Drosophila melanogaster: one gene and its partner. The protein of the gene in region 2 interacts with the protein of the main gene of each other region in a pairwise test. Each region holds a gene or a part of one and is shown on either strand. Other genes may lie near its edges.

What was found.
Region 1: the proteins of CG5776 (region 2) and CG34174 interact in a two-hybrid assay, tested with the Drosophila melanogaster proteins (one large-scale study listed by BioGRID).

Annotation. Positions count from the first base shown.
Region 1 is NT_033779.5:2,210,525-2,216,430, forward strand, and holds CG34174 (uncharacterized protein), read left to right. Parts: upstream 1-3,741; 5' UTR 3,742-3,787; coding exon 3,788-3,860; intron 3,861-3,913; coding exon 3,914-4,360; intron 4,361-4,447; exon of another isoform or gene 4,448-4,489; coding exon 4,490-4,623; 3' UTR 4,624-4,643; downstream 4,644-5,906. Other genes in the region: CG15385 (uncharacterized protein), read right to left, coding at 1-345, 401-986, 1,053-1,193, 1,249-1,567, 1,755-1,851; Uch (ubiquitin carboxy-terminal hydrolase), read right to left, coding at 2,446-2,809, 2,891-3,033, 3,092-3,232, 3,372-3,407; daed (daedalus), read right to left, coding at 4,807-4,935, 4,991-5,701.
Region 2 is NT_033779.5:12,699,625-12,706,283, forward strand, and holds CG5776 (uncharacterized protein), read right to left. Parts: upstream 4,828-6,659; 5' UTR 4,777-4,827; coding exon 4,371-4,776; intron 4,313-4,370; coding exon 3,821-4,312; intron 3,768-3,820; coding exon 2,266-3,767; 3' UTR 1,325-2,265; downstream 1-1,324. Other genes in the region: CG17036 (uncharacterized protein), read right to left, coding at 1-82, 147-890; spict (spichthyin), read left to right, coding at 5,168-5,468, 5,967-6,659.

The sequences.
Region 1 (5,906 bases), about 10 Mb from region 2:
GGCATAGGCTATGGTTTGGCCCTGGTTGGTGATGATTCCCAGGGCAGCTGTAAGATACTGCATGGTGCAGTCGTGTCCAGAGTACAGGACAAACTTCGTCCTGTCGCCAGAGATCATCTTCAGCATGTAGCTGACTATGTGACGGATCATTCCGTAGGATCGCAGCAATCCGGATAGCTTGTAGTACGAGTGACCAGCGGAGCGTTGCGATAGTTCGTCCGCAAAGGACATCAGGGTATCCACGTGGCTGGGCTCGACGCAGCCCTCTTGAGCTTCATCCGCCTGCACTGAGGGATTCCCATTTTCCACCTCAGGGGAGTCGGGTTCCACCTGTGTTTGTGCCTCCTGGGGACAAGGTAACATGAAACCTTCAACATTGCAGGAGCTCTTCAATAGTTACCTGCATCAAGTTGGCAGCTGTTTCATCCTGATCTATATTGATCACATCCACCAGTTCCTGATTGGAGTTCTTTCTGAGGGGCTTTGGAGTGGAAAGCGCTTTTTTCCTGCGACATGGCAAGGTGGCGTCATGGCATAGAACTGTCAAAAGGGCATCCACCACCTCGAAGGGATTGCTAATGCCATTCGGCGTGTGCTGCAGTATGGTGCCTCCGATCCACTGCATCACATCCAGGACATCGCCACGTTTCAGGAGCTGCTTATCACCCATGGCCTCCAGACGTTTTCGCAGCAGAGCCGACTGAGGACAGCTGCACTCGCCGAAGCAGAAAGCCATGCTATGCGATTCCCGGACATTCAAAGCCAGCCACTTGTCCGCCGGAAGCAAGGTGAACAGCATGGCCAATGCGGACTGGAAGGTGCGACGATAGCGAGTGGTGAAGACCACCACTTCATCCGAATTAAGAAGCGTGTGGGGCGTCGTTTCCACAGAGGCTCGGTTCGGATTCGGTTTGAGCAGGAGACCCAGTGGATGAGCATAGACCTGGTGCATGATGTCGCCCACGTGTAGCAGCTGCGAGATTCCCCTGGTGAATGAAAAGTCAGGCGTATGATTAATAGCGGCATTGAATGCCGGTAGTGCATTCACTCACTTGTAGGTGAGCTGCCCCAGTGGACAACCACGTTCTGTGGCCGGCAGCAGTGGAAACCCATGGAACGGCCCCACCTTGTTCCAGTACATGTGATTTGATCCCGAAGCGGAGCTGCTCGAGTTATACAGAAAACTGCGATACCTAAAGCAAAACCACGTATCAATGAATAAATATTTCCGGAAATGTGATAGCCCACCTGTTGACCAAGTTATCTGAGCCACCACTCACGCCGCAGTTGATGCCAGCACTGCGAACGTGGGATATGGGTCCCCGATCCCCGTGCCTGATGACCAGGAGCACGCCCTGAAGCTTCCAACCCTCCAAGATGCCGCCATCATCCAAACGCTGCAGCTGAGCCAACGGAGCACAGCGTTCTCTGTACTTGGCGAATCGCTGGGCAGTGGAAGATGGCGAACTATCGCCGCCCAAGGAACTGACGGTGCCAGACGAACTGGGTCCGAAAACTGAGCCACCGCTTGGAGTCGACTCAACATTGCCCATGTAGCGATACATTCCTAAAAAGGATTATCAAAGGCAAGGATTAGCTATTTGCCTATGAATATAACAAAGCACGTCCTATTCGAGTGTTGACAACCATATTAACTAATTGGGTCAACTTAAGAAATCTTTTCTTAGATTTATATTGAGTATATATTGAATGTTTTCCCACGATTGCCATTAATCCGCTACTTTTCCACTTACCCGCTATAAGAAGGAATATCCAGACGCTGAGCAGCACATAGCAGTAGAAGGCTCTGTGTTGGGTGGCCACTCGCATCAGTTCCTTGAGCAGCCTCATCCTGGCCAGAAAGTCCGGCTCTTAACTGCTGCCCGCTAGCTCCACTGCTGCTCCTCGGCATCAACTCGTTGGGCGGCACTCCTGGAGGGTTTCTGTCGATACGATAGCTCTGATATACTCCTATCCAGTGCTTAAATTTCAGGCTAGAGCTCCGCTGCACGGGGATTGCTTTTTTAATGCTAAGTGTAGAAAAAACAAGGTTCAAGCGTTTACGTGGAGCACGACTAATTGGCAGGGCATGCGCAATGGAGGCCACATCGTTATCAGCTGTTGGCACAGAGGTGGTGGACAAAGGGGGAGTTTGAACAGCCAAGCCTATATTTTTATATATGTATATTAATAAGTAAAAGCCGTGTGGTGTTCAGAATAAGCTTAGCATCAAGCTAGAGTGCACTCTTTAATAACAATCATGGTGTTCCCAATACATATGCGGCTTTGGCTCAATGCGGAATAAATATGCGTAAACTATTGACCGGCTGAAAGGCGGGGCTTCGTTCGCCTTTGCAGCCTGGTTTAAAATATGTTGGATATATAAATATATAGTCTGGCAGATCCGGGATCTTGGTGGTTCTCAGTTATGGGATTAGTTCCACCCTATTGTTGTGCCGCGGTCAAGGCCAAAACGGTGAAGCGCACTTCGTTGGGATCGCGAGCCATGAACTCCTTGCAGACCTTGGCCGCATCCTTCACAAAAGTCTCCTCCGAAGTCGGTCCGTGCTTGATCGGGAAGGACTTGCGGCCATCCAGCTCGTACAGAGTACCCTCCTTGTTCACCAGTGCGATGAAGTGGTGGATCACCTTCTCATGATTGGCGGCATTCGTCTGGCCCTCTTGAGCCAAGGCCTCATGATCGGCGGTGAACTTCTCGTCTTTTTCGAGGGCCCGTCCGCGTTCCTCCGGGGACAAGGAAGCTGTCTTCTCCAGGAAGTCCTTCAGTACTCCGCGGTCAATGTCCACTCTGGGGAAAGATTACATTTTGTGATATATAAAGAGATACGATTATTAACGATCTTATATAGAAAAAACGTCACGAACTCACTCTTTGTTGTTGGCCACGCTGTGGATCAGGGCGACGGTTCCACAGGCGTTGTGGGTGAACTGGCGCATGTAGAAGAGATCCTCGGGATGCTGCTCCTCCACCTCCTTAATCCGATCGTGCTCCTCGGCGCGGTGCTTCTCATACTAAAAATGGAACCTGGTTGGCCAGGATAATAAGATAAGAAGGTCAAGCTAAACCTACGGTTTCGCTGCACGGGAAGAGCAAAATGAACGCCTTTACGGGACGCGGAATCCATTCCAAGGTGTCATCTTCCAATCCAATGACGTCAGTTACCGACCAGGCTGGCGACACGCCCAGTTTATGTATGTACTTGGTCAAAACCTGGAAAAGTGGGAATGGGAAGGTCTTAATGGCGTCTTTTAACTTTATTATCCAAATCCGACATTTTGGAACAAAGAAACAATGAATGTGCAAAAACTGGAAGTGCGGTAGGCAAAACCTTTACAGGTAAAGTCATTACCTCGGGATTAGATTCAAGTGGCGTCCAGGTTAACATATTTTTGAATTTGGCTTTAGCAGTGATCTGATTGAAAATTCACAGGAAAATGAAGGATTTCTACACACAATTACCGGCACTTTTGACGAGCTTTACTTTTTTCTGAATGTGGTGTGTGAACATTGATTTGGTCGAAACATATCGATTATAAGCTTTTCAATTGTGTGTATTAAAGCAATTGATTCATGTAATCGATTAAGATTAAATGAAATAAATGTCGAAATGTCCATTCCCCATTTAAATAGCTATAGTTCTATGCTAACATTGAATATATTCACTTATCGATATTAGAAACCATTAGTGTTGATAAACGCGTTGAACGTATTTCCCAAAGAGGAGGTGTGCATACACTAGCTGAAGTAAACAATATTGTTTACAAAATGACCAAAGCGAATAAAACGCCGCAAAAAGCAAGTGAACCGAATATAAATGGTTCCTTCACACCAGTTCGATGTAAGTTGGCTCCAAAGACAAAAAAGGTTATTATTTCTTTGCATCGTTTCCAGATTTGGACAGCCAGCGCCTGCAATCGCCCACGAGTCACGATGCGAATTTAGCCACCTGCAAAACCAGATTGGAAACAATAGTCAAACAACTCCAGGATAACTACGCTAAATGGCAGCTGGCCCATCAGCGGGGCACCTCTATTTGCTATACTATCGAAGCCAAGAAGACCAAGTGTCTGGAGAAAAGCCAGGATGAAGGCAGCTCCCTTTACCCAGATGATCTCCTACTTCCCTGCAACAAGTTGGCCATCATAGCCTCTATTTTCGGGGATATCGCAAATAATACAAAGGAGATACTAAGACAACTGAGAGGCATATTAAAATTACCGGGATCTGCAGCGGATACGATATTCTACAGGTCCTGGAAGTTGCAGCAATTCGTGGTTTTCGCGAAGGAGCTATCCGAAAGATATGAGAAGGAGGCTCTGGTCAAAATGGAAGTTGCCGGTAGGAATAATAAAGCTCCTCTTTGTCGAAAGCAGCCCCTTTAATACGTTTGAAAATTCAAAGAAGCACAGATTAATTTCTCAAATTCGATTTACCATCTTAAATATAATCATGTTACTTTTCTTATAGGTAACATTGCTCACTCGACTGAAAGAAGCCAGCTCATTGCGCACACAACTTTATGGGAATTTCCCGAGCACGTGGACTCCTATGTCCATCTGGGGTTTCTTCTCCTTGCCGAAGAAGTCAGTTTAAGGCAATAAATTAAACAATTTTTCAACTTAATACAACATATGGTTTCTATCAAATGTTCATGTTGGGCAGTAAAACTTCATTACAGCTTTAGATTAAGCGAATGCTTAAAGAAGTAATAAGTAAATTCTATAAACTTAGGTCCTATGAGAAAATCGGAATGTAACTATTAAATGCATCGTTGTGCGTTTTTTTTAAGTCTGAACGGAGATCCGCTCCAGTCGGGGAGCGCTGCGGAACTTGGTCCACCACCAGAACCAGGCGCACGAAAATCCCACAGCCAAGGTGGTGTAATACAAAATAGTAGCCAGGCTCCACTTCTTCTGCAATGCAAATTTGTATAAAGGAAAATAATTTCTTATTGCTTGCTATATTCACCTTCTTGTGACTCTCGTTGCCCTGCACTTTCTTCTGGCTCCTTGCGTTCTGGGCATTAGCTTCGATTTTCGCGAGATCCTTGGCAATCTCTTCGGTGATCTGATTCACGCTTTTTAGAGTTTCCTGGGCAAAGCAGCTGGCATATCGTTTGTCGCCCACCACGACGTCCTCGGGAGTGGAGACCTGCAGCTTGTAGTTGGTGGCCGCTAAAGAAGCGCGCAGGGACATAAAGTGGTTGCCAGCATTGCCCAGAATCTGATTGTTGTAGTTTTCGGCTTCAGGATGGTTGCAAATGTATTCGTAACTGGGATTCTGGTTGGGAATCTTTTCGAACATCTCCAGGAGCTGTTGCCGTTGCTTTCGACACTTGAACCCGAAGAGTTCCAAATCTTCGTCGGTGAGAGAGGCCAAATCCAGATAGTTAATGTTCTCGGCAATAAGTTTGTCCACACAGGTGCTGGCGTAGTCCGTTTCCACGCTGGTAGAGCACAGTAGACCGTTGAGGATCTCCCTCTCCCGGCGTGTGTCCCTGTGAGCCTTTTGGCGAACCCAAGGACGTCGATTGTAGCCCAGGAAAGCACTGTCCAATTCCTTCTGCTCGGTGTGCGAGTGAAAGTTCTTTGTGGCCTCAAACTGAATGGTCGGCGGAACCTTGGCCATCGCCACCAAGGGGACATCCCCCGCGGACATTGTGTGCGTCTTCGTTGCCATAAACTCTGTCAATAATGGCAATTAAATTACCATTAAAATGCAATTGCGCTTAGATTAGATTCGCTGTTAAGAATCGGACGTTTACGAGCACTGCGAGTAGGGGTGGTCAAGATTCCTAACAGATTATGTTAAAAGTAACAGAAGTAGTAAGGGCTCTGTAAACATTTAAAACGTGAATATTAACAATTTAGTAATTTTATTTCCT
Region 2 (6,659 bases):
CCACGGCCTCCACTCCGCCATTGTAAACACTGAGCTTATTCGGTGCCACCTCTTTCCACAGGAACTGGATGTAGGAGATCACCTAGAGGATTTAACATAATTAGTTTATTACACACTTAACTTCTTGCAATAAACGGCCAACTTACTTGAACTTGACCACAGGTGGCCAATGCCCACCATATGCTCCACTGCAGCACGACGGGATTGGAGTAGGAACTAACGAGGTGGTACCACAGCAGGCGGCATGCGTTGGCAAAGGAGAACTTTGGTGAGGTCTCTTCTCCGTCGGCAATGGTAATCTTCTCGGAACCCGCGTAGAAGTAGAGGCTACGCGGCACACTGGGCAGGAACAGGGACACGGCCAGGGAGATTAGCTGCGTGGCCAGCGAGAGGTAGTGCAGCTGCCGGTAATCCATGCTATCGGTGGACACCAAAATCTGGGCAAACAGGCCGCCGAGGAACTTGCCGCTCAAGATGGCAGCTCGCGTGTGGCCCGTGACTACCTGATACTGCTCCTTGTTGACCTTGGCGTACATGTACGTGTAGTAGGCCACCTCAGCGGCCGTAAAGGTGCCAAAAAACACTTGGGCCACCTGCAGCATTCCCACGGTTTCCGTCCAGATAAGCATGGAGAACAGGGTAATGCCAGCCAGTGCCGATAGCACGATAACCGGTTTGTACCTCACCAGATCTGTGATGAGGAACACAATTACCAGCTGGGCCAGCACCGAGTACGTGCCGAAGGGATACACATCCTGATAGATTTGATCCGTCGTCAGGTTGCCATAATCCGAGGCTAGGTACTCTGTGACGTACGGCTCCGAAGGTCGAAACTCCCGGAAAAAGCCAAACGTGCACAGCAGCAGCGAGATCTTCAGCCAGCTCTTCATGTCGTAAATTGCGATACCAGGTGGGCTGTTCGCATGGAGACTCGAAACTCCAAGCTCCAATCCGGCGCCAGTTGTTTCGCCAATTGATAAGTGTCGTAACCAACGCGACGAACGCCAGCCGGCAACTGATCGCGCGAATCAAGAGCGCCTGGTAGCCCATCGCTCTCCGCCAAAGCGGCTACAGTGGTGGCCAGCAGTATTCACCCACAACAACCGGAAAACCAGAATCAGGTGAATTTTAAGGGGTTCAAAAAAAATCATAAGAAAACAGCAACATTCAATATGACAGGCATATAAAATTATTTCCAACGATTACTACAACTATACAATCAACTATATTATCACAAAAAAATATATATTTAATATACTTAAAAAATAAACTATCAACAAATAGTATTATTTTTAGAAGAAAAACGCTATATAAAATATATTTTACATTCAATATTTCAAAAGTTGTTGGAAAAGATATGCACATATGAACTTATATCCAAAGCACTGCAAATTCGTAAAACAATTAATTTAAGCTACTGTTGGGCCATAAAATTCGTATATTGTTTAATATATTTACACACATACATACAAATGTTTAAATCATGCGCCCAAGTTCAATGACCGTTAACTGTTAATGCTAGGGCCACTAAAAAACATAACTTAATATTGATTTTGGTGTTATTCACAAAATTGAACACTTCATATATTTATGGCCGCTACTGTACGAGTATGACCTCAAAAGACCGTGAAATATACATTTATCTACATTCAATTAATTTGGAGAATTTCTATAATTACAACTTGACAAATTTATAGATTTGGTTACAGATCACGGAGCAGTGAAAGTTGTAAATTTTAAATAAGTTTTATTTCGGTAATTGTCGAGTAAGCAAATTTATCGCACAGCAACAAAAATTAAGATTCTTGGATTGTTCCCCATCAATTTATTGACAATTAAGTGACGCATTAATTGGAAATTTGTTGAAAGCTCAACGTTTGCTCTTGATATTCACAATCGAGAGAATGATACTCTTTGAATTTAGAGGTTAAAAATAGAGCATTCAAGTTATCACCGATAGTTCTGCTATAGCCATCTTATCTTTGTAGTCTAATCTGCAGGCACTAAATATGAATTTCAGAACTGTCTAAACACCAAAGTCGACCCTCTAATCGGTTCTACTTTACATAACTTACATAACTACATACATAACTCCGATTTGAAGGCTGATCGAGTGAACAGATTTTGGAGAGCTAATAACATGGTAATTTGTTTAAACAAATTAAGCAGATTTGCTTTCGGTAATCTTATCGTCACTGTTTTGCGGATTCTTCACAATTAATCTTAAAATAGTTCTAAAGTCAAGGTTCCCCTGAGTTGTTTAATCTACTTCCGTTTGAGGTAATCTTCGTAGAGTTTCAACAACTCTGGAGAAGTCCGCGGAGGCACCGCCTTCAAGGCGTGCTCGAAGTCCGTCCACTTGACATCCTCCGCTTCGAAGCTTTGCTCCAGGGCTCTCAGGGCAGCCTCATGGCATACGGCTTGTATTTCTGCACCGGAATATCCCTCCGTCAGCTGCACCAACTTCTCCATGTCCACATCGTTTGATATCGGCATGGCACGCAGTTTGATCTTTAAGATCTCTCTACGTGCTTCACATTGCGGTAGTCCCACGTAGAGAATTCGATCAATTCGGCCTGGACGAAGCAGTGCCTTGTCGATCATATCTGGACGATTGGTGGCAGCGACTATGGTGACATTTTGCAGTGCCTCCACGCCATCCAGTTCGGTGAGCAGTTGCGTGAGGACGCGCTCTTTTACGGACGAACCAGAGCTGGATCCGTCGCCCTCCGAACGCTCGCCACCGATGGCGTCGATTTCGTCGAAGAAAACTATGGCGGGTGCCACCTGGCGAGCCTTTCGAAAGACCTCACGCACCGCTCGCTCCGATTCGCCCACCCACATGGAAAAGAGCTCTGGTCCCTTGATGGACAGAAAATTAAGCTTGCTCTCGGTGGCCAGGGCCTTGGCAATCATGGTTTTCGAGCAGCCTGGCGGTCCAAACATGAGGATACCCCTGGGTGGCTTGATACCCAGGCGTTGGAACTTATCCGCGTGCAGCAGTGGCCACTCGATGGCCTGCTGCATGGCCAAACGTAGCTCGGATTGACCGCCAATGTCGGACCACTGCACATTGGGACACTCGATGAGAACTTCACGCATCGCCGATGGTTTAATGCGGGTCAAAGCCGCCTGTAGATGCGGCATCTGTAGAGGATTCGGTTGCGCCTGCAGCATGGCAGCGTAAACGAGATTTGCTAAGTCTGCTCCCACGTAGCCATGGGTAATAGATGCAACGTGCTCCACTTCCTCATCGCTCAACTGATGCTCCACTGACTTGATGAGGCATCGTACAATTTCCAGCCTTGCCTGAGAGCTGGGTGCACCCAACTCCACTTCATTGTCCAATCGACCAGCTCGCCGAATGCTCGGATGCAGGGTATCAATCTGAGAACTAGTGGCCAGGACAAATGTTTTGCTTCCCTTTAGCTGGCTGGGAGAGCTTAGCTGATCCAGCAGGGATAAGAATGCCAATGAGACGCGCTTGACAAGATCGCTGTTTTCTTGCTTGGGACACAAGTTGTGCACATCCTCAATCAGCAGCAACGTTGGATGCGGATAGTGATTGTAGGCACGCTCAAATATAGCACCAAGTTTCTGTTCCGTTTCGCCCAGGAATTTGCTGTACACTTCGCCGCTGTTTATGCGTATAAGCTGGACATGTCCTTGGCTACGTTCCTCGGCCACTGCGCACATGGCTTCCAGCACCATGGACTTGCCACAGCCAGTGGCGCCATAGAGAAGCAGTCCGCGGGAAACCCTAAGGCCTAAAATATAATAATCTTAAATAGGTGCAATGTGAGTCTTGGTTTACATTTACCTGCAGGCAACGTTCGGAATCCCAAAGCGTACTCCATACTCTCCTCAACCAGTTGCAATTGCCTATCCAGCCCGCCTATTTGGCATTTGGTGATCCTGTGACTTATTTTTTGCTCCTCCTCCTGCTGATTTGCATCGTCGGTTATCAGGTGGAGCTTGGTTACGTTGGTAACCTGGATGAACTGCAAGGGTTTGGAGTCGAGACTCAGACCAGCTAGAGCCTCTTCCACTGTGCTCTGCCATCGCTCCAGGCGAAAAGTCAGCGATTTGTTAAAGAAATTCATGTGGATCAGACTGTCCTTGTAGAATACCCGATTGACCATGTCTCTTTTGAGAAGGGCAATGGCGTCCTGCAGTTGTACTGACTTCAGGGAGGTCTCTGTGGTGTTTACATGCTTCAGGGAAATGCTGGCAGCCGCAGTGAGGCGACTGGGATGCAAGGCAGAGATCTTGAGTAGCTTTCCTCGAAGTTGTGTGCAATGGAGTTTGAAATCTGGTTAAAAGTATGATAATTAGTGCCGAGAACTGTTTTTATAGTGTAAAACACATACCCCCTTCGCTCACAAATACTGTGGTGAGGAATTGCTCTGATGTGGGCCATACAATCCTAACCAGCGGCTGCTCCGCCGTCGATGGAGCTTCCAGCACCACATGTTGTCCAATGTGTAGCTGTGCCAATTGCATCGCACCCTCGGAGACGAAGACTAGCATATTGGCATACTTGGTGGGCAGATCCTTCAGAGACTCCACCTCGAAATTACGCTGTTGAAGACTTCTCGTATAGATTGCTCCACTGCGAACGTACTCCGCCTCAGAATCGGGACCAACATCATCCTGGCTGATGGCGAAGCATAAGCCCTCGTGGTTATCTCTCGCTTTCGAGGGAATGTGGACGCCGCAGGACTCGCAGTGGTACCAAGTAACCTGGTTTTTCTTGCTGCTTGACTTTGGCGGCATTTCGTTGGCCGGTTGCACGTTTTGTTTTCATTGTGGGTGGAAACGTTCGTTGTGAATGGCAAATTGAGCGCAAGCTCTGGCAGATCTTGATCGAAAATAGCTAGATCTTGGTATAGCTAAACAGATAATAATCGTATGGCGTACGGATTGCTTGTTAATATTAATTTCATTGCGTAATATTTTAAATATTCGATAGTTATAAATAATTAAAATTGATTGTTAAAAATAATAGCTAAGCAAATGCAGTCAGCCTAGCTGACATCACTGACAGTGTTGGTAGGGTCGGTATTTACCCGCTGTCCGCATGCAGCCACTCCAAAGATTCATTGTTGGCTTGTGACTCAGACTTTCTGGTGCGAAAAGCAGGAGCGGATCACACAGCGGATTAGCGATGAACAGCGACGGTGAAGCCTCATCACTGCAGATGCCCCAGGTGACGGTGGGTGGCATGCTGCCGGTAGAAGCCAACCAATCGCCTGAAACCGCTCCGCTTTCGATGGCGGAGACGGTGTCCAACACGGACTTCTACATCGGCGTTGGCCTGGCTATCTCCTCCTGCTTCTTCATCGGTTCCAGCTTCATCATCAAAAAGAAGGCGCTCATTCGGCTGAGCAGGTACGGCGAGGTGCGGGCGTCAGCCGGAGGATTTGGATATCTGAGGGAGTGGATCTGGTGGGCGGGCCTTCTGACAAGTGAGTGAAGAACCAAACAAAGAACACTCGGTTTCCGGAATACCCTTGCAGTGTGAACTCTCTAGTGTGTATATGTTCTATGAGTAATAATAGTAAAGTGAAATTCGAAAACCAAGATACTTAAGTGAGGAAAGCCTTAGAAACACTTTTCCATATGTTTCATATCCAAAAAGGTAATAAAATAACACATATGTACCTGCTATCACAAACTTCCGTTGCTGATATTTTTAATTTAAATCTTTCCAAATATTAGTCAATTACTTATAACGTACAACGCAAACTAGAGCATTAATAAACATATAACGAATAATCTTTAAAACGTAGAGATAACAACTATTTCCATTTATACACATAAACTTGCCTAATCTATAGAATCGAAGATTAGTTGCGAAGCTTCTCCAGAAATTTGAATACCGTCTGCAAGGGTATATTATCAGAAAAACAGAACCCCTTATCACACTGACCTTATGACTCACTTGCTCTGTTTATTTCTTACAGTGGGTGTGGGAGAAGCGGCCAACTTTGCGGCCTACGCCTTTGCCCCCGCTTCATTGGTCACTCCGTTGGGCGCGCTGAGTGTTATCATCTCAGCCGTGATGGCCTCCAGATTCCTCAACGAGAAGCTAAACTTGCTGGGGAAGATCGGCTGCTTTCTGTGCATACTGGGATCCACCATCATTGTGATTCACTCGCCCAAAGAGAAGGAGATCGAGGATTTGCAGCTGCTATTCGATATGCTTTTGGATCCGGTTTTCATTCTGTACGTGATCTGCATCGTCGGTTCCACGGTGTTTGTGGCCTGCTTCATTGCACCACGGCATGGGCACACCAATGTGGTAGTTTATATCTTCTTGTGCTCCGGCATCGGATCTCTGACTGTGATGTCCTGCAAGGCATTGGGCCTAGCCATACGGCAGACGCTGAATAACGGAGGCAACGTCTTCCTCACATGGATGCCATGGTTCCTGATCCTGGTCACCGTCACTTTCATAGCCATCCAGATGAACTATCTGAACAAGGCGCTGGATATATTCAATACTAGTATAGTTACTCCAGTGTACTATGTAATGTTCACCACCCTGGTGATAGCTGCGTCTGCCATCCTCTTCAAGGAGTTCACCCACATGCGGTTCGATGATATTCTCGGCGATGTGTGCGGCTTCCTGATCGTTATCACAGCTGTGTTCCTGC